Lonchura striata: one gene and its partners. The protein of the gene in region 3 interacts with the protein of the main gene of each other region in a pairwise test. Links are inferred from orthologs where the notes say so. Each region holds a gene or a part of one and is shown on either strand. Other genes may lie near its edges.

Region 1 (7,393 bases), on a different chromosome or scaffold from region 3:
GGGCTGGGACCAGCCCGGTGCTGGGCTCGGCGGCCGGCGCGGAGCTGCTGCTGTGGCAGAGCTGTTGTGACACTCACGATCTGCACCTCGCTGGTGGCCCTGCTGCTGTAGGTGGTGGTGAGGATGGCGGGGCAGCTCTCGCTGTAGCGGGGCCGCTGCCCGTCCGCCAGGACGCTGCCCACCGACACCGTGTAGATGCTGTTGGTGTACCCGTCGCAGTTGCAGTTGTCGTAGTTGGTGCCGCCGTTGCCCGAGGCCCAGATGAAGATGGAGCCGAGCCCACCCCGTCCCTGTTGAAGAGCAGAGGGGGGTCAGCAGGTTGTCCTCGTGTCCCTGTGGCCCTCAAGGCCAGGGCTGGGCTTACCTGGACGACCCCTCTGTGGAAAGCGGCCGCAGCCAGGACTCCGGGCCCGTCCACCGTCCTGCCATCGTCCTCGGGGCCCCAGCTGGCGCTGTAGATGTGGATGTACTGGGGCTGCAGGCCCAGGGCCTGGGCCTCCACCATGTCCGTGATGGAGCCGTCCAGCATCCGCACGCCTGAGGGAGGCACCGGGCAGCCGTGGAGGGGACGGGAGCCACGCACGAGCCACACCAAGGGCAGGGCCTGGAGCTTTCAGTGCCCCTGCCCTAAGGAGATCAGGCCCCCTCGTGTCTGTGCCCTTCCCAAAGCTCCTCATTAAGCCTTTTTTCATTAAGCACAGGGAGTGCTCCTGGTGTTTAACCCCCCCTTTGCCACCTTCACTTCCACAGAGGAGCCTGAGCCTGCCCTGCTGGTCTTGGGCTGAGCATCAAAGCCTTGGCAGCACCGAGCCTGATGTGGGGCAGCAGCCACCCTTGTAAAGCCCAGAGCAGCCCCACCTGGGCTCCTGCATCCTCACAGGGGGCTGGAGATGATTTCCAGCTTCTCTCACAGAGGAGCAACATCTTACCTCCAATTTTGGCATTGTAGGCGACGCCAGCACCGCAGATTCCATTGTTGGCCACGGCTGCCACTTCCCCCGCGCAGCGTGTCCCGTGCCTGGGGGGACAGAGTGACCCTGAGAGGGGTGGGGGGCCTGGGACAGCCCCAGGGCTGACCCCCCCAGTGTGGGGAGCTGGGCAGAACCCACCAGTTCTTGTCGCTGTCGCTGTACCGGGGCTGGGGGTCGGGGTCGTTGCTGTTGAAGTCGTAACTGGCCAGCGGGTCCTGTTACACGGCGAGGCAGCGGCGTGAGGGCCCGGGCAGGGCTGTGGCAGCTTGGCACAGGCTCCTGGCACCCAGCCCGGCGCTGGCACCGCCGAGGGACCCGCCTGCCAGCCCAGGGGACAGCGGGGCCCCTTCGTGCCCAGCTGTGCTGGGAGCTAAACCGAGACCCGAGAGGGAAGGGAGCTGGGGAAGGGGCTCAGCCCGGGGAAAAGGAGGAGCAGGGGGAAGCTTCTGGTTCTGTACCAGTCCCTGGCAGGAGGGGACAGTCATGGGGGTCAGGCCCAGGGGACAACGGCACAGGAGGGAACAGCCTCAGGCTGTGCCTGGTGGGACATCAGCAGGAATTTCCCCATGGGAAAGGTGGGCAGGCCTTGGCAGGGGCTGCCCCGGGAGGTTTGGAGTGCCTGGAGGTGGCACTGGGTGCTCTGGGCTGGTGAGAAGGTGGGCACAGGTTGGACTCGATGATTCTGAAGCCCTTTTCCAGCCTCGGTGGCTCTGGGGTGGTGCAGGAGGGGCTGGAAGCAGCACAGCTTTGCTGAGGGTGACCCTCGCTGGCCACACAGCCCCGGGAGAGGAGCCACGGCACAGTTCCACACCACCAGGGCTGCTTTTCCTTCTTGGGAGGGTTTGCCCACCACGCTGCCTTTGCAGCTTGCTGCAATCACACCTCTGGGGGCTCCTCTGCGTGGGCACGTCAGAACATTTCAAACCCAGTGTGAAATTGTACCATGGGAGGCTCCAAACCCTGGATCCAGCCCCGGAGGGGCCAAATTCCCACCGGGAATGCTGGAGGTGGGCTGACAGCATCGACCCCACCCTCCCTGGAGGAGCAGCTCCTGGACCCCCCCATAATTACGTAGTTGGCGGCCAGGTCGGGGTGATCCTTCTCCAGCCCATCGTCCAGGACAGTCAGCACCACGCCCAGCCCCGTGTAGCCTCTGCTCCACGCCGTGAGGATGTTCAGGTCGGGATGGACGTCGTTGTTCTGGAAAACAGATTAACTCCGATCGGGGTCACCTGCGGGAGTGCTGCTGCCTCAGCACTGCCGGCATTAGCCGGGATCATGTCCGGGTGGGGCGCTGGGAAGGGCACGGCCAGCGGGCACGGAGGGACCCTGCCCCTCTGCCCGGCCCTGGGGGCATTTCTGGGTGCTGTTCCCAGTCTGGGGTGCTGTGCCCAGCTCTGGGTGCTGTGCCCCGTCTAGGGTGCTGTGCCAAATTTAGGGTGCTGCGACCAGTTCTGGGGCACTGTGCCCAGTCTGGGGTGCTGTGCTCAATTTAGGGTGCTGTTCCCAGCTCTGGGGTGCTGTTCCCAGTTCTGGGGTGCTGTGCCCAGTCTGGGGTGCTGTGCCCAGTTCCGGGGTGCTGTGCCCAATTTAGGGCGCTGTGCCCAGTTCTGGGGTGCTGTGCCCAGTTCTGGGGTGCTGTGCCCAGCTCTGGGCTCCTCGGGACGTGCAGCTCCCAGAGGGGTCCAGTGCAGGGTCACAAGGCTGAGGAAGGGATTGGAACACCCTGACAAAGAAAAGCTGAGGGAGCTGGGGCTGTTCAGCCTTGAGAGGGGCCCTCAGCCCCGGGTGTCCCTGGCTGCTGCCCTGGGAGGGCTCAGGGCAGGGCCAGACTCGCCCTGGGGACCAGAAATGGCACCAGAGGAAGGGGCAGGGAGTGATCCCAGGAATTCCCCTGCACAGGAGGAAGAATTCCTTCAGTGTGCAGCACCTGAGCCCTGAACAGAGGCCAGAGGGGCTGTGGGGTTTCCCTCCCTGGGGATATCCCAGAGCAATCCAGACCCAATCCTGTGCCTCTGGGATGGTGCTGAGCAGGGAGGGGGCTCTGGATGTGCCGCTGCTCCCCTCCATCCCGCGACTGGGGTGGGGATGAGGAGGGGAAGCAGCCGGCTCTCACCATGTACCACTGCTTGGGGAACCAGGGGTCGGTGGGCACCACGCCCGCGCCTCTCTTGGAGCGTCTCTTCAGCGTCTGCTGCTCGAACCACAGGACCTGGGCGGGGAGCAGCGCTGTGAGCGCCCGGCCGTGCCTGCCCACAGCTGTCCCCTGGCACCCCGGGCCTTCCTCCCTACCTGGGGGTCCCTGGCGAGCCGCATGTGCCACCCCCAGTGCCGGCTCAGGGCTCTCTGCCGGCTGCCGCGGTGGCTGAAGTGGTGGAAGGGCTCTCCCTCCATCACCTGCGGGCACAAAGAGCTGCTCGGAGGGTGGATTGAACACCAGCAGGATGGGCAGAGTGTCCCCAGGGTGGATTGAACGCCAGCAGGACGGGCAGAAAGTGTCCCCAGGGTGGATTGAACACCAGTAGGACGGGCAGAAAGTGTCCCCAGGGTGGATTGAACACCAGCAGGACGGGCCAAAAGTGTCCCCAGGGTGGATTGAACACCAGCAGGACAGGCCGAAAGTGTCCCCAGGGTGGATTGAACACCAGCAGGACGGGCCAAAAGTGTCCCCAGGGTGGATTGAACACCAGCAGGACGGGCAGAGTGTCCCCAGGGTGGATTGAATGCCAGCAGGACGGGCCAAAAGTGTCCCTTGGGAACAGCGTGGAGTCCTGGGGAGGGGCTGGGTGCCTCGGGGGTCCCTCGCTCACCCCTGCACGCTCAGGGGCCGTTTGCTCTGAGGCTGGGGGGACCCTGGCACGGAATTCCCAGATTCCCAGGGAGCCTTGGAGGGGAAGTGTTGAGCAAGTGTTGGATGGGGCTTGGAGTGACCAGGCCTAATGGAAGACATCCCTGCCCACGGGACAAGCGGAGGGGACGAACAGAGGCAGCACCGGGCCAAGGGCACACGGGGTGGGCTGGGCCCGCCTTCCCCGCCCAGGCCGCACCTGGCCCCGGTAGAGCAACCCGTGCCGGCGGGCCAGAGCCCGGGCGTCCCTCAGCCCCGGCGCCACCCGCACGGCCCAGCTGCTGAGATACACTCGGGGCTTGGCGGGGCCCGGAGGGGCGGCGGCGGCCACCGGGAGCAGCACCGGGAGCAGCACCGGGACAAGAACCGGGACAAGAACCGGGAGCAGCGCCGGGCCGGGCCGGGCCGCGCCGCCATGAGGCCGCGCTGCCATGGCAACGGCGTCGGCCACGCCCCCCGCACGGCCGCGCCTCATTGGCCCGCTGCTCCCCGCCCCGCCCTCCCATTGGCCACGCCCTCCGCTGAGCCCCGCCCCCTGGCGCTGGCCACGCCCCCAGCGGAGCGCTCGCCGGGCCGGGGTCGCACCGGGGCCGCTCCGGGGCCGCCGCCGCTTCAGCGCCGCCGCCGCCATGGGCTCCGTGCAGCAGCGCCTGGAGCGCTTCCTCTACAGCCCCGGCCCCATCGGCGACCTGCTGGCTCGGCTGGAAGCCCGTACCGGCGTCCAACGGCTTTACCTGGCCACAGGTGCGACCGGTACCGCGGGGCCTCCCCGGTTCTCCCCGGTTCTGTCCCCTTCTCCCCCGTATCGTGGGGCGCCTTGGCAGCTGCTCACCGTGGCTCTGGGCTCAGCACGGGGGCACGGGGAGGGCAGGCAGGACCGCGCTGGTTTGGGGGTGCGGAGGGGGTGGGGGTACCGGGGGTGACATCGCTGTCACCGCGCTGCCCTCGCCTTCCGCCGGCACCGAATCCCGGAATCCTAAAGCGTGCAGGGTCCGGGTGTCAGAGAGACCCTCGAGACCCCTGGCCTGACGGGGGGGGTCCCCATTCTGGGTGAGCCCCCAGATCGTGGTGGGTCAGATGGGGCACTGGGGATGGCAGCTCGTCCCCGTGTCCCACCGGTGGGACCGTGCGGATCCGGCCTTTAACCGGATCCCTGTTGTTCATTAATGAGGAACCAGCCGGGTTCTCCCCGGGGATCCTCCTCCTGGCACGCCGTGCCCCCTCTCCTCTGACCCTCGGCCCTGTGCCCTCTGTGCCAGCTTGAACTGGCCTCGTCCACGTGCTCCAGTTTGAGATTTGGTGCCACTCAGGCATTTTCCAAGCAAAACAATCCTGGGGATTTGCTCAGGCTCAGCCGTGATGGACTTTGGGGGTAGAACAAGAGTGGCCCCACCAAAAAGGGATGGTTCTGCATTCTGGGTCCCTGTCCTGGAAAGGAGAAGCTGTTGCTGAACTAAAAATTCCCGATTTCTCCCTCTCGTAGCTCCCTAATTTGTGTTTGAGACTTTGGGCTGGGGTTTGGAGCAACCTCTGGGCAGCACCACCTCCGGCTGCCTCAGCAAAACCTTCCCTGGGTTTTTGCTGTTACATAAATTTCTCTGGGAGTTTAAATCCTGCGAAATCCCTTCTAAGGCTCTTGGGGAGTGAAACCCAGCACTGCCTGGACCTGCCTGCCCTCCTTGGAGGGAGGTTTGGGATTGCTCCAAAGCCACGTTGCTCCTGCCCAGTGTCCCAGGAAAGACCCGGAGCTGTGGGTGCCCCGGAGCTCAGGCCAGGAATGCTGCAGGGAGCAGAGCTGGGATAATCCTCCCTCAACACCCCAGCAAGGACTTTAATTCACCAGCACAGTCAGGTTAATTCCCAGCTTTTTCCTGCTGCTGGAGGACTTTGTTCCGGTGGGACACACAAAATGCTCCATCCCGAGTATCCCAGAGGTTTTCCTGCCCAAAAGCTCCGTGTCCCACCTTCCCCAGCCACGCTTTTCCCCAGCTCCTCTGCAGCCTCCTGCGAGCGTCCGGGGCGCTGGGCAGGCTCCAGCCGCCGACGGCTCAAATTTTAATTGAGCCAGCTAATTGAGCGGCAGGGCAGCGGGATCGGATTGCCGCTCCCAGGGCGGCCAAGCCTTCCTCTGCCGGGCTGCTCGGCCACGGGGAGCGGGGCTCGTCCTTGAGCCGGAGCTCTGGGAATGCCCAGCGGCTCCGGGCCCCGCCGGGGAACCGAGCGGAGCCAAGCGGAGCCTTGACTTTGGACCATGGGCGTGTAGTCAGCGTCTCCTGCCGCCCTGGCTCTGCTCCAGGGGTGAAAGTGCTGCGAGATTGGGGTGGTGAAGTCCCATCGCAGCCCCATCGCAGCCCCATCCCAGCCCCATCCCAGCCCAATCCCAGCCCCATCCCAGCCCAATCCCAGCCCCATCGCAGCCCCATCCCAGCCCCATCCCAACCCCATCCCATCACAGCCCCATCCCATCCCAGCCCCATCCCAGCCCCATCCCAGCCCCATCCCAACCCCATCCCAGCCCCATCCCAATCCCATCCCAATCCCATCCCAATCCCATCCCAGCCCCATCCCAGCTCCATCCCAATCCCATCCCAATCCCATCCCAGCCCCATCCCAGCCCCATCGCAGCCCCATCCCAGCCCCATCCCAGCCCCATCCCAGCCCAATCCCATCGCAGCCCCATCCCAATCCTATCCCAGCCCCATCCCAGCCCCATCCCACCCCCATCCCAGCCCCATCCCAGTCCCATCCCAATCCCATCCCAATCCCATCCCAGCCCCATCCCACCCCCATCCCAGCCCCATCCCAGCCCCATCCCAATCCCATCCCAGCCCCATCGCAGCCCCATCCCAGCCCCATCCCAGCCCCATCCCAATCCCATCCCAGCCCCATCGCAGCCCCATCCCAGCCCCATCCCAGCCCCATCCCAATCCCATCCCAGCCCCATCCCAGCCCCATCGCAGCCCCATCCCAGCCCCATCCCAGCCCCATCCCAGCCCCATCCCAGCCAGGGGAGGGGGTCGCGGCTCCCTCGGGGAGGAGCAGCCTCCCCCGTGCCTCGTTCCATCCAGCACCTCCGCGACGTGGAATTAACCCGGCGTGGCTTTCACCCCCTGGCACACGCCCGTGCCTGCTCTGGGATGAGAATCCCGCTCAGGAGACCGAGCGGGGTCTCCCCCGGTGGCAGCAGGCTCCCGAGCATCCCCTGTGCCCCGCAGGCTCCCTGGCTTTCCTGGGGCTGTACCTCATGTTCGGCTACGGCGCTTCCCTGCTCTGCAATGTCATCGGCTTCGTCTACCCCGCCTACCTCTCGTAAGTACCTGTGCCGCACCTGCAGAGCGTGCCCTGCCCTTCGCTGAGCTCTCCCTGCTCAGCCAGGAGGCGATTATTGCTGGGAAGCTCTTGAGACCTTCCTGGAGAGGCTGGGACCGTGCCAGCCCAGAGCAGCCAGTGGGCAGGTTCCCTCCGGGCTGGGGGGTTTGGGAAGGTGGAGCCCAGCCCGGGACTGCAGCAGCCGTGTCCTTCCTTCCTTGTTTCTTTCCTTGTTTCCTTCCTTCCTTCCTTCCTTGTTTCCTTC
Region 2 (6,880 bases), on a different chromosome or scaffold from region 3:
TAAGGTCTAACAGCCACTCACCATTGCTGCCCTAGCTTTGAGCAATTGACCCAAAGTCACCAGTAGACTTTCTTAGGAACTGGAGGGGATATTCTGGGTGCTGAAGTCCAGTCTGTGCTACCTCAGACAACCATATCACACAGCATGTTCACAAATTCATCCTTTCCTTTATAATATTTGATATATCTTTCTACATCTCATTATTCATGAGGTGTTACTACCACTTCTCTAATAGTCAGAAAGTATTTTCTGATTCCCAGTGCACAATAATTCCTGGCCATTTAAACCAATTTCTTTCCACACCTTTTAAGTTAGTGCTCTTCCTGCTGCTCATACATTTTATGTGTTCAGAGAGGACAAGTGTACTCCATTAAACAGCTTCAAAAGCTCCTTCAGCCTCCATCATAAAACAGTTTCCTCTGCCACCTCTGTAATCTTGTTCTTTCTTTTTCTGGTTTTGAATTCCTGTTTGAAAAAACTTTGTGCTAAAGCAGAAAGCCAGGTGCCAAGACTTAGGATCGACACGTCTCATTAAATAATTTTCAGTTTATAAAACAAAGGGAATCCTTAAACAAATGAAAAATCTTACCGCCTGGTTCCAGTTGACAGCAATTCTATTTGCATAACCAAAGAGGAACACAGAGAGGAAGACAATGGAGAGGAACCACGCCGTCACTGCCACAAACATTACCCATCCCTGCAGCAGTGCCAGTGGAATTTGGGTAGAGGCGACCAAAATCCAGACTATTGTTCCAAACAGCTGCAAGGAAAGGAATACAGAGAATAAACTGGACAGCTTTTACTCAGTACTTTCTGCCTAAGAACTGATATCACACATTACATATCATCAGATGACTCTTAGAAACCAAGAAGAAACACTTCAAAAGTACTCGGAGAGCCCAAGTCCTCCTCTCAGAAATGATAGGCACTAAGTGGTGAAAATACAAAGCCACTCTGAAATTCCTAAAGGTTCTTAAAATAGGCTTGAAAATGGGATTTACAAACCCAGGTGACTTGTGTCCTGCTGAAAATTTTATCCTTACTGCAATTTTGAATAAAATATAAGAAATGTGAAAACACAGTACACACACACACAAATCTCTCTCTAAATACGCAAATTAGCACAAAAAGGATGTACTTCTACTACTTTGGATTCAATTTCATAATGTTTCGCTTTGAAGTCCTAATCAGATGAGATACAGAAAGGAGATAAAAAGACACCCATTTTTTCAATATATTTGTAATACCAAGCTGAAGGAGGACAGAAAGCATAAAACAAAAGAAAAAAACCTAGAATACAGAATAAGGTGAGTTGTAAACTATGCTGTAAAGACTAGAAAAATATAGAAGTTTCCAGAATCATCATAACTTGGAGAAGAATTCAGCAGTGCCAATTTCATTTCAGCAGACTCCTCACGGCAAATGAGTGGTAGGGACACTGTGCTAGGGATGGTGATGGAGAATTTACACACTCTAAGGCTTCCCTGGCTTAATCAACTTTTGGCCTAAGGAACACAACTATTTCTTCCTGCAAATCCTGCCTCTTAATAAAAAAACATAAATAGATGACAATTATGATTCACTCCAAGTATGTTTGTTTATGACAGAAAGATTTAAATTCATAATCCAAACTGCTGAATAGTGTCAACTAAAATATATTTCCAAGCGCAAGTAACTTCTTTCCTGTTTGAATTCCACAGATTTACAAACCAGGAAGTCAGAGGTTACATTTTCAGATTCAGATAGCTTTCTTTTGTATCACAGTTGGATAAGAGATACCTTTCAAAAGATGCCTGCTACAAAATAAGTTGGTTCCTCTCTGGTGCAGCAGCACATGTGTAAAGATGCATTGCTAGTCTCAGTTCAAAGCTCCCATGGGTTTATGTATTACTGTTCAAGTTGTTCTCTAGGGTTCCTTTTTTATCTGTGAAGAACCAAACTTTCTCTAGTTTCATAAGACTGCAGGTGCAAGTCTGTTACTTGGTGACCAGAGAGTGATGGGCAGTGAGGAAACAAAAGGGATAGCAGAAAGTGTCTGTTAAACAAAAAACAGAGACACATTAAATGCTTTCAGTATTTTCAATGTGCAGACTTGCAGGGTTCCTTAAAAATAAATTTAGAACTGTACTGTAGAGACTGCTAATCTCAGCACCCACTGTTGTGCTACTTCCCTCACGCTACACCTGTCCACAACAGCTTGCCTGTCAGAGTACAATTGGTTGGCCAGCTGAACTAACCTTTTGTCCCTACTGCCTCTGGGCCTGATTTAGTGCCCGGACTTGTGTTTCGAGTTTCAGCTTGCTCCTTACTCAGGTACAATTTTAAAGCTTGTGAGGTGGGACCCAGCTCACAGTCTGGGACCCAAGTAGTATTCTGCTCTGACCGTACGGGAAAGAGTAAATTAATAAAGTCAGAGGGGTTCTACCAAGCTTTTTTGTTTTTCATCACCCATTAATCAGTGGCACCACAGAGCGCCATATCCAAGCTCAGCTCAAAGGTCCTCAGCCCTGCGTACTCCTGCGGGGTCTAACACACACGTGCCATTGAGCACGCTCGTAGGAGTTTGCAGAGGACGCGCAACAGGCGCGCAGACAGAACCTGGTGTAACTCTCCGTGGTGCCTTTTCGGGTCGGGAGCAGAGCGTGGCTCAAAGCCCCGGACAGCTGAGGGAGCCCCGCGAAGCCCATCTGCGTGCGGGCCGCGGCCGAGGGCAGCGAGCCGGGCGGGCGGAGCCCCGGCCCCGCACCTGCCCCTGCCCCGCTCACAAGATGGCAGGCGAGCGGCGCGGCAGGCCCTGGCGCTCCCCACCGCGGCCCTGCACTCACGATCTCCAGGAAGATGACGGCTCCCGAGAAGGTGCGCAGGATCTCCAGGCCGGAGGGCAGCGTGACCCGCGGAGGCGGGAAGTAGGGAGCGGGGTTGGGAGGCGGCGGCATGGACGAGGCTCCCCTGGGCAACATGCTGCTGCGGCGGCGGCGGCCGTGCCGAGCGCGGCCAGGTGGGCGAGGAGGCGGCGGTGAGGGCGGCGCAGGTGCGGGCGGGCCGGCCGCGCCTCCCCCGGCCCGGCCCGGCCCGGCCCGGCCCCGCCCCGCAGCCGCCGCGCCTCGCCCGGAGCGGGGCCGGGCCCGGGGCCGGAGCCGGGCTCGGGCCGTGTCCGGCCACTGCCTCCCGGCTTCACGGCAGCGCGGCGCTCCGCATTCACGAGTCCTGAATCAGGCCAGCCGGACTCGGGCGTGATTTCCCAATGCCGGCTTGCAAAAGGTTTTTATTTACCTTCTGGTTACGGATGTTCGGGCTTCGAAATTGAGTCGTTGCACTGTTTTATTTAAAGGCGCCTACTAGGTTATCCATTCAAAATATTGAAAACATTTCATTTGTATCTTCTTATTGCTCGGTCTGGCTCAACTGTGTACCACTGATTAAAAGTAGTAGAAAATGTTTGTAAAACTTTGGGGTAGAGAAAGGTATACATTCATGAGACTACTTATAATCCATTTATTTTCTTATGCTTCTTTATACAAGCATCTTCTCCAGATGGAGATGCCATCCAGCAGCACTTCACTTATTTCTCCCGTTGTGCCTTAGGCTGAGATGTGCTACCTCTGGAATGACCAAGACTGTTTCACCCAATGTTATCCCATTCAGTGTTCATACTCCACACATACGGCTGCGATTTTAGAGATAACATTTTAAGAAGGTTTCATGCAAGTGTATGTAGCTGCTCTGGAGATTGAACTGACTTGGGTATAAAGACCTTATTCCTTTCTTTTCGATGCATGATGTTTCTCGGGTATGCTTTTGTGATGACAAGAAATGCCACATCCTGAGATGCCTGTCTTCCCCACCCCAATCCAAGCCCTAGGTGGAGAGCAGTTGGCACCATAAAACAGGACTCATCTGTGTTTCTGCCATACCATTCCGTACACAAATAGATTTGTGATGCTTTTAAAATGCATTAATGATTGCTTGGCTTTGAAATCTTGGCATCTAAAGGAGGAAGAAGCAAAAGTTCACATTCTTTCTTGTGCTCTGTCTTCATCTCTATGCCTCTTGTAGCTGGATGCCTCTTGAACTCTTAAGTAGGAGATGCTGGATTGAATCCCCATTAGGCTGAAGAAGGCACAGCCTCCCCTCTTTTCTGAGTGCTTTACCCCATTGCCTATCCAATGATATATTATTTTTTTCCTCTAGACCTATTTGAAAAGTGAACCTTGTGTTCCATCCTTTTATCTTCAGGAAAAGACTTAAGGCTCTGGAAGTGCATGCCTACAGGACCTGTTTTGGCTGTTTTGGAAAGGAATGGGATTGATACTTGTGCATAAGTGATTAGGTGTAGGAGGTTTGTTCTTGGGATTGTTATCTGGAGACCATATGTCAAATAAAAGTCACAGTCTGGCCCTAAATCTGTTAAGACTGCCCTGCAGAGGGAGAAGTCTGAGACAGTGGAAAACAGGGCTGGTTTATGATTCAGAACAAGAAATGTGATTGTCCTTATCTTACACAAAGGAAGTACAAATAATACTTGGTCATAAACATTTCCAGTGTTATTATTTAGCTGCATAGTTAATCTGTGTGAACTCCTAGCAGTACTAGATTTTACTAATGATTACATACCATGTGCTTGTAAATCCTATTTCTTTTTACTTGCACGTTCCTTATAACACTTATTTTATTGAAATTTAGTTGGTTCTAACAAAAAAGTCCAAATTTCACTTTCACAATTAGGTATAGATCTACTGAGTAGATTTTTGGCTGTGCTTTTTCCTGAAGCCTAATTCTCTGCTTTTTCCTAAAGCTTAAATTAAGTGTCTCTTTAAATTATTTTTGCTGTGTTCAGGCAAGATGTGCTGCATGCCCTGTGGGATTGCTTTTATACTGATTCATGTACTGTTTGAATCTTTAAAGAACTGGATTTTTTAAAGAGATTAAGTTTCCATGCAAAAGCACATGTTTGTGTTTAACTGCTTTTTAATAGCATTTTTGTATAACTAATTGCATCTTGGCATGTTAGAAGGTAAAGTAATGATGCAGCTTCCAGTCCACCAAAGTGAATAGGTAGGCAGAAGTATATTGATTCATTGTGAGTAGGAAAGTCTGTCTATACAACCACAAGGAGTAAAAATTGCTCTTAAGCAGCTGTAAAAAGCTCTATTCCCTTCATGTTCTAATGCTATGGCAGTCTAATGTAAAGGAAGCATTGTCACAGAACTACTAAACCAGTTGCTGGTTTAGCAGTGTACATGTGTACATCATACTGGATATGAAAATTACACAGCAGTCACATGCAGCAAGATTCAGACTACCTTTTGTGAGGTATGGCATTGATACTTCTGGAAGAGCTGAATATTAGTAAGGATACTAGATAACAGGTGAAAGTAATGCCAATTTCAGAACTCATGGTCCTTAATGCCTTATCTATGTTATCAGAAGCATTTCAGGAAGAGATGTTATCTCATGTCCTATGTTATGGAGTGCACCAGGGTGGTCTGCCAAAATGGTCAAAGAGATGGAAAATACAAACCAAATAATTGACAGTAACCCTGTTTTCCTGTGGCTCTGTTTATGCACAAACAGATTCCCCAAGCCAGAGTGGAACTAGGCAAGGTTTTCTAGACAGGATCCGCTTCTTTCTTGTTCTGGAGGAAGTTGCCCCTAATAGTTGTCTGTGTTTCTTTTAGATTTGCAAAGCTGCTATTTCTTAATGTGGAATACAAACTCTCCTAAGTTAGTTACATATCAAAAATAGAAAGCCTGGAGTTGATCATGCAACACAGGCTTTTTGTTTATGGATGAAATAATTTAGCATGCTCCTGGAAATTTCATACAGGATTCTGATCTCACACTGGTACAAACTCTGGGGTCATTACCCCTTAGCCAGTGAAATTAAATTGGCATAAAACTGGCTTGCATAAGATGAATGATAAGGAATGCCTTTAGCATCATTTGTTGTAGTGTATTTAGTAAGTGGTAACAGAACTTCAGGATCATGGTTGGATCTATGCATATTATGAATTAGTGTGCAAATACCACCACATTGTTGAGGTTTCTTGTGAGGCAGTGCAACAGTTTTAATTTTTTTAACAAGCAGGGCCAAGTTTGTGAATGCATGTTGCCCCTTCTTGCACCAAGAGGAAAACAACTGTTGAAATTTCTCACTTAATCCAGTTAAACTGAGCTTGGGATGTGTGCTGAGGAGATGAAGATAAATGTGCCACCTGTTTGGTCCACCAGTGCCAGGGATGGCTGGTTACCAAACCAGTCCCTGGAGCAGCTTCAAGCAGTCTCAGAGCTGCTCTCAGCAGCATTTTCTGGCTGGCTCATAATGCTATGGTGGTACTTTGGACATGGCCTCTTCCTGCAGAAGTGTCTTCCGTGCCCAGAGCCATGGGATGAAAGGCATTTTCCTGTCTGCTTTGGCTCTCAGGGTGCCCTTTGAAGCAGGGAATCCTTTGCTGGCTGGTTAGGGGTGTTTGAGGATCCCTTCACACAGGCACCACACAGCTGGAGGCTGGCACAGAGCCAGGGACCCTGCTGGAGTCAGCTGGTGTTAGGGAGGTCAGGCTGAGGTTCCTCACCTGTTCTCATAACATTGTTTCCATGTTCCTAAGCTTACCAGCGGTTCATTTTTGACTTGGTGGCACTGCTGGTCTCTAGCAATACAGTATAGCATGCCAAGGGCCAATTTTCCTTTTATTTACTTTAAGAAATTCCTTTTAGCTGTGTAAGGGTGCAGCAAAAGTAAAAATGCAGAATCTCTTAATAGCAAAGAGGAAGATCCTGACCTGAGATGGTACAGGAGGCAAGGTGGGTAGAGAGGGACATGGCAGAGCAAAGCCAAGTTACCTAATGGGAAAATGTCTCAAGAAGTCAAGTGTTCTGT
Region 3 (7,417 bases):
AGCAGCTGGCTGCACACAGAAGGTGAAAGACATGGGGACACAGGGAACAGTCCAGGCTCCCCTGTGTTTGAATGGAATGGGTATCTGGCAAATGCCAGTGCCAGGGGATAATCTACACTCAAGCAGGATCCAGACCTCAGGCATTGCCTTTGCAGCCTGTTTTCACCCTTTCCACAAGACAGACAAGCTGTTGCCTCTCCAAATGAGCCAGCACTGATCCCACATCCTCCCAGCTGTCTCCCCCCCCCGTGCAATCTCCCTGGACATAACGGGGATGCTCTGGGCTGTACGGGCACCGCAGCAGACACGGAACCACTCCATCCTCACGGCCTCAGCCGAGCCTGCTTCACACTTTGTCCACCTCCAAACCTAGATCACTCCAGGCTGACAATGTGGGAAGGCCAAGAAATGCCACAAATATTGCAAAACCACCAGGATACAGAAGTTGGTCATAAACTTCCCTCCAAAGTCGGGTTTTGCTCCTCCGACTGGGTTTTCCATTCAAAACTCAAGCAGGCTGTGCCACCTGCCTGCTTCCTGCAGACACAGCACTTTGCCTTGCTCCCTGGGAGCCATCCAAAGATCCAGAACTGTTTGGAGGGAGAAACACCACTCCAAAGCCTCTCGAGATTCCCGGGGCACCCAGCACCAGGAGTCTCCATGCCACCCCTGCCCAGAGAGTCCCACGAGATCAGGGGATGTGGAGAGGTGCCATGAGCCCCATGGAGAGGCACAAATGAGGGGCACACTGCTCCAGGCTGGGCTGTGCTGCTGGGGAGATGGCTCTGTGCACAGGGACAGCCCTGGCCTGCAGCCCACCAGCACAGCCGAGCCAACACAGCCTGCAGAGCCACCAACTGAGCAACCCCACAACCCCAGGGGAAAAACCAGGAGAAAAATCAGCCTCACCAATAGCTGGGTCTGGAGGAGAGCAGGAGTGTCCCACGCTGAGCACACCAACCCACCGTGTGGCCACAGCCCCAGCGTGGCTGGGAACAGCACTTAGTGTATGGTGAATGCCTTTATTAATTACAGCCTGCAGCTAATATGGGAGGGAGGGAGGGTGGCTGAGCCATGAGGAAAGGCCCCGTGACCTTGTTTGCATGGTGGGGGCAATGCTGGCTCAGGAGGAACGTAGCAGAGCTCTGCCCCAACCAGCTTCCCCTGCACAGCTTCCTAAAGTGGTGCTGAGTGTGGGAATAGAGGAGGGATCAGCGAGTCAGGGATCAGTAAGCAGGGTCACAGCCATGCAGCCACCCATCCTGGGTGCTCTGCATCCCATGCCACCCACAGGAACCCTCGTCCCTCCTCAGCACTGTAGCTGTGGGGCTGTGGGCAGTCTCACCCAGCCCCACTGGGCCACTGTCACTGTTGAGGGCTGGTGAGGAAGCCACAGCTCCAGGTCTCCTAGCCAAAACAACTTGGCTCCCATCTTCTGCCAGGGTAATGTGCCCAGCAACGAGTCCTTTTCCTTGCAGCTCACCCCAGTGCTCCCCAACAAGCACCCATTCCCAGGGCATCACCCCAAACACACCCATCTCTGCTCCCACTCTGCCTTCCCAGTGTGGTGCCACAGTTTCCTTGGCACAGCCAGGACATGTCTCTTCCCTAATTCCCAATCAGTTCCAAACCCAGCAGGACATAAGTGCTCTGTCTGGGACTAGTGTTCTCTCCCACCAGGGCCCTGGCACTGTGTATATAGATGGGACAGGAACAGCCACATTGGCTTACCTTCCCCAGGGATCTGCAGCCCACTGCTGGCTAACTGCAGGAGAACCAGCTTGTAGCATTATTATTATTATTATTATTATTATTATTATTATTACTACTACTACTAAATTATCACAACAAAGTTGTGAGCTCCATTACACACTTGGGAGCATGTGTGGTCACAGGGCCGGGATCCCTCAGATGTTGTCTCACTCTCACAAGAGTCCCCACACTGACTACCTGCCTGCTGCCCTGGCACGGATGTGTTGCCCACAGGATGTTGGCACGGATACCTCGGGCTGACTGAGCAGCGTGCAACAAACAGGCAGACAAATCAGGAGAAGTGAGGGCTGGTTCCTGCCAGCCAGTGAAGCCAAGGCAGCCTTCAGTGAGGCTGGGAGAGGGAGGAAGGGAACTTGCAGCTCAGTCTGAGCCACGGCCGTGTGCCCACTGCATTGCCCCCGGAGCAGGAGCGATGGGGGAGCACCATGGGGTGAAGGAAAACCCCGGTGTGACACAGTCTGGGCCACATCCTCCTCCACCAGTGCAGGAGGAACAGCCTCAGCTTTCTCTGAACCCGTGAGGGACACAGGTCTGTACCCCAGCAGCCCCCACAAAGCAGCCGAACAGTGTGGTCCGGCTGAGGGGCGCAGACCGGGCAGCCCCGCCACGGAGCCCCGTGGGGGACGCGGCGCCACTGACGCGTGGGCTGAGCCGCGCAGGGTCTGGGGGCGGCGGTGGCAGCAGGGGGCTGTGTGGGGGCTCAGGCTGTCCACGGTGGCTGTTGCTAAGAGCGGCCTCCTTCCCAGCCCAGCGCGTTCGTCGGGGCAGCGGGGAGACTCCCAGGGGAGGCTGGCTGAGGAGCGGGGAGGCACCGCAGGGATGCTCCAGCAATCCCCCCTGGCACCCCCACCCCCGGCTGTCTGCCGGCCGGCCCTCTTTGCCAGGAGCTGCCGGCTCCGTTCCCCCTTCCCAGCACACCCGGGCTGGGCTTTCCCCGCTGCAGCAAGGCATCAGCTCCCGGACTCCGACAAGGACCCGACCCCGGCACCCGCACCTGCGGGAGCAAAGGCGGGCGGGCGGTGCGGGCAGCTCCATCTCCTCGGCAGGGGCTGAGGGGCCGAAGGCTCTCGCCACCCCCGGTCCCATCGCCCCTCCTCGGTTCACAGCCCCCGTTCCGGCACGGGCGGCCGGGCCGTACCTGTCAGGAGCTCGATCTTGTGCCGGAGCACCTTCATGCCGGGCGGCGAGTCCCGGCGGGCGGGGCGGGCTGAGGCGGCGGCGGCCCCGGCGCGGGGCGAGCGGAGCCGGAGCCGGAGCCGGTGCCGGTGCCGGTGCCGGTGCCGGAGCGAGGTGCGCGGGGCGGCGCAGGGGCTGGGCTGGGCACGGCCCCGCCGGCCGGATCCTCCTCCCCTCGCCGGGGCCGGAGGGGAGGGACGGGGCCGGGATCGGGAACGGGGGCACCCGGAGAACAGCGGTGCTGAGGGAGGCGGGAGCGGACGGGAGATGGAGGCTGCGGGGGTTACGCGGAGCGCTGGGGGCTGCGGGGGGTTGCACGGGGGATGGAGGCTGCCGAGGACACACATCACTCTGCAGGGAACCATTTCGGTCCCAGAGTGGGACCGTGATGACCAACAGGTCCAACAGGTCCCTGTGGTCGTGGAGTCCCAGAAGCAGAGGACAGCGGCAGCCCCAGGTATGGACCATGCACGAGGGGTCTGGGTCTCCCTGAGAGCAGGGGAAGGCGATAATCAAGGTGCTCAGGGAGGATCTGGGACAAGAGGAGACCTGTGCACAACAATGATACCTGGAACACAGCCACTGGTGGCCAAGGGATGTAGGGAGACCTGGAAAGTGGGGCCACGAAGGACAAAGGGCTTGGGAGTATCCAGGAAAGAAAACACAGATTACAAGGGACCTAAGGGTCCTCTGGGGCATGGGAATGTAGGTTGCCCTGAACATAGGATGGTCCCAATCAAGGTTGCCAGGTGGTTTCAGGATAAGAAGGGCCTGTCCAATGAAGGTCCCCACAGCAGGACCACAATGGTCTGTGAGGGAATGGAGATTGTGACAGTCAAGAAGGATCACCCAGGAGTGGAGGCTGTGACTGGGGTCATGATGAACCCACGAACACTGATGCTGGAGGTGTAGGGTGGCAGCTGTGTTTGGGGCAGAGCAGGAGGTTGTAAATCACTTGAATTCTCCTGAATTGGGACAATTGGGACATTGAGGACAGAGGGCCTTGGCTTGCCCCAGAGCAAGGGCTGAATCCTGCTTGTCTCCACACCTGACAAGGTCATGCTGGCAGTGTTCCTTCCTCTGTACTTGTCTGATATCACTTTAACTGATTTTTTTTCTCACAGCTAGGGATGTAACAGCCTCCACTCCCATGCTGCCTGAGGCAACTGCACAGGACATACCATCCAAAACTGGCTCTTATCAAACCATGGGGAGCTCCTGAGGACCCCATCACCTCCTCTCAACAGGCTTGGTTCCTCAGCACTGGGCTGAATCAGGTATCTCAGAGCTCAGCCTCATTGCCCCTCAGCCAGCCACAGTGGCCAACAGACCCCTCTGCTTCAGGGCGCCTTTGCCTGCTGGGCCATGGGGTGCCTTGAGAGAAGCCACAGGCAGTCATCCTACAAATAGCTGCTGAGGGGCTGGAGAAATGTCTGCTCATACTGACATTCATCCCTGGTACATCAATTTTAACAGCTTGTCCCAGGCTTTTTGGATGGCAACCAGATTTCAGCTGATTTCAGCCTCTCCCGCTGAGTCACCACGAGTTCTGCATCCAGGCTGCATTCGCCTTCTCACCTCAAAGAGCGAAAAGCCCATGATGTCAGGGAGCTCAGGGACTCTTAAATCCCTCAAGTAGGAGCCAGTCCCTCACCTAGCACTTCAATGGGATCAAATCTTCCCTGCCTTCAGCGCTGCTTTTCCCCCTCTTCTGTGGGTCCAGCAGCCAAGAGGTTTTCTCTGAACTTGGTCAGGGACGAGACAGTGTTGGTTCTGATCTTCCTAATATTGCACACATTTAAACCTCCTCCTCCTCTCCCTTCAGTTGCCAGGGGTTTCTATGGGAATAAATTCTTTTTCATGCTTGGGATTTATCTTCTCCTCAGCAGTCACACCTTCAAGCAGAGAGAGAGTGGGCCAGAACTGCTGAACCCACAGATGCCATTGGTGGCAAGAGGGAGATGGCAGGACCAGAGGTCCTGGGACCTTTCATTTTCCTTCCCTCTGGAAGAAACCTGGAAAGATTTCATTAAAAAGGCAGAGACCATAAAACTCCAATAAAAATGCTCCAGCATGACCCCACAAAACGTTCCTGTTGTGATGGTGCAATCTCAGCCTGGCAGAGGTGAGCTGGGACCCCTAAACCTGTTGCAGGTAGCTCTGAACCCCTTGGCCACCCTTCCCACAGTGGCACCCAACACTGGCAGTGGACCCCTCCTGTGGTGGGCAGCTGGTGGTGGACAGAGCACACAGCTGCCATCAGCAGAGAGAGATGTAGAGGTGACCAGCAGGGAAGCAGAGCCCTGAATCCAAGCCCTGAGGCAGGGCAGGGTTTGACACACGTCCACAGCTCCAGGCTGCATCCTGTGCTGCACACACAGGGCTGATTTGGGAGCAGGAGGAGAAGCAGCCTGGGGCTGATGTGCTGGCTGCCCAGGCTGGCTGTGCAGGGGAGCAGCAGGATCAATGTGCCTGTATCGAAGGGCTTCATGGGGATTAGATACCACCCTGAGGCACAGGCAGTCCAGTGACGATGTGCAGAGGAGTCACAGCTAAATTTAGCCTCATTTGTGCGTGAGTGTGATGTTTTTATTCTTGCCCTTAAATATAAACATTGTTTGAAGCCAGTGGCTGCTGGTTCTGCTTTGCTAGCTCTGGATCTTGGATGGATTGTTTCAGTCAAGCTATTCAAAAGAGGGAGAAATGCGAATAAGCAGTTGGTGAGACATATCCCAAAGACCTATTTTCAAAAATGCTCAGGAACCATTTCCCAGAATCCAGCAGTGCACACAAAGCAGTGAGTGTGACGTTGGTGGCTGTGGGGATGTGCTGGTGCTGAGGGAGAGGTGTCTCCCAGGTAAAGCTGCTCCATGGGCATGGGATCACATGCTGGAGCTTTGACCATAATGAGGGTTATCTTGGGTGTGAGGCAGCAGCACTGGAGTGGCAGCAGCTGTTGGTGATGGGTCCCATCCTGCATCCCACCTTGGCTGGACATCCCACCCCTAGGGCAGGCACAATCTGCCCCAGCCTTACATCCCCAGGGCAGCAAAAGGTCCACACCTTGCTGGCTCCAAAATAATCCAAACCAGAATGGCAGCAGGGCAATTAAATCTTGGGTGCCCCAAAAGAGACACCTCAAACCTTGCCCAGAGGTCCCAGATTGGTGCCAGGAGGGGTTGGTGTCCCCAGAAGTGCTGGGCTTCATGCAGAACAAGGCAAGGCTGCACTGTGGCACTGCCTGTGCGTGAGCTCAGGGCTGTGGGCAGAGACAGAGACAGGGACAGGCAGGAGCCAGCCCTGCTGCTCCACATCCTGACACCACACATTCCACTGAAGCTGCCTGGGAAGGTAAAATCCTGCAGGGAGCTCTGTATCCTCTCCATGCAACACAGCCCCTGAGGCCAGGACGGGAGCAGAGGCTCTGTGACCCAGCCCAGGGCAGAGCTGTGCTGTGCCCTGTGTGCCCCACAAAGCATGTGCTGGGGCTGGCGAGCTGCCCGTCCCCCCCGGCTGCCTCCTGCCCTCCAAACACAGGGCTACCAGTAATTTTCCATCCTGGCTGTGAGCTCTGCCCTAACGAGATGTTCTCCTCTGTCCCTCTAGCAGGGCTGGGCCCCATTCAAGTTTCTCTGTTCATTCAGACCCTGAGTCCACCCCCTCCGTTTTGCTGCTCAAGCTGCCCGCCAGTTCTGCAGGGTGGCTGCTCCTCCAAGCCCCGTTCCTCACAGTGCTCACAGCCCCTCTGCCTCAGGGCAATGGGAAGATTTTGTCCAAAAGCCAGGGGGGAAAAAAAATTTAAAAAAAAGATCAGCAACCAGCCAAGAAAAATTCCCATGGCTCAGCTGCACTGGGGCCAGGAACAAGGCAGCCCTGGGGACTTTGCCCTCAGCCATTTCCAAAGCTGCCTCTGCACAGGCACCTCTGCCTGGAATTGAAGGTCTGGTCCATCAGCTGCACTGGTTGGTCAAGCACATCAGAGTAAAGCTGATTTCCAGAGGAAGGTACCTGGCCCTGGAGCACTGTGCCTGCAGCAGTGCACTCCCCTCAGCTCCTCCTTGCAATGAAGCTGCTCAACTCTGACCTCAGTTTAGGCATTCACTTTGTGGGCCTGGAGAGCCACCCAGTGCCAGGAGACACTTTCCAGAGGGAGGATTCTGTGCCCATCTCTCCAGAGCAGGCCCCTTCATCCCTTCCTGCCTCCCCCCAGCCACAGGAGCCAGCAGCACTGCTCAGGCCCACTTTGCTGCTTCTGCCATAGCCTCTTTTCGGAATCAAGCCAAGTTTTAAATAAATACCTGTCAGCAGAGCCAAGCCGGGTGCTCAGAATGATGGCATGTGTGTTTAGCAGGTTGATAGGCGTGAGACAGAGCACAGACAGCAGGGGCTCTCTCCTCAGAGGCCAGAAACTGGCACATTCTCAAAGGCAGCATTAATCAGCATTTTCAACTGCACAGCACCTGTCACA

The links. The genes of interacting proteins can lie anywhere in the genome.
Region 1: the proteins of NDRG4 (region 3) and REEP6 interact in binary tests that used the Homo sapiens proteins (3 or more experiments, as listed by UniProt). The two-hybrid records come from large-scale screens. The link is inferred for Lonchura striata from reciprocal best matches to the Homo sapiens genes NDRG4 and REEP6.
Region 2: the proteins of NDRG4 (region 3) and MAL2 interact in binary tests that used the Homo sapiens proteins (3 or more experiments, as listed by UniProt). The two-hybrid records come from large-scale screens. The link is inferred for Lonchura striata from reciprocal best matches to the Homo sapiens genes NDRG4 and MAL2.

The regions. Positions count from the first base shown.
Region 1 is NC_134630.1:6,180,439-6,187,831, forward strand, and holds the start of REEP6 (receptor expression-enhancing protein 6), read left to right. Parts: upstream 1-4,373; 5' UTR 4,374-4,448; coding exon 4,449-4,563; intron 4,564-7,034; coding exon 7,035-7,128; intron 7,129-7,393. Other genes in the region: PCSK4 (proprotein convertase subtilisin/kexin type 4), read right to left, coding at 78-290, 365-537, 930-1,018, 1,110-1,186, 2,043-2,171, 3,088-3,183, 3,264-3,365. UniProt on the Homo sapiens protein: Required for correct function and survival of retinal photoreceptors. Required for retinal development.
Region 2 is NC_134603.1:14,192,703-14,199,582, forward strand, and holds the start of MAL2 (protein MAL2), read right to left. Parts: upstream 3,021-6,880; 5' UTR 2,961-3,020; coding exon 2,826-2,960; intron 761-2,825; coding exon 590-760; intron 1-589. UniProt on the Homo sapiens protein: Member of the machinery of polarized transport. Required for the indirect transcytotic route at the step of the egress of the transcytosing cargo from perinuclear endosomes in order for it to travel to the apical surface via a raft-dependent pathway.
Region 3 is NC_134615.1:17,573,793-17,581,209, reverse strand, and holds the start of NDRG4 (protein NDRG4), read right to left. Parts: upstream 3,013-7,417; 5' UTR 2,949-3,012; coding exon 2,912-2,948; intron 1-2,911. UniProt on the Homo sapiens protein: Contributes to the maintenance of intracerebral BDNF levels within the normal range, which is necessary for the preservation of spatial learning and the resistance to neuronal cell death caused by ischemic stress.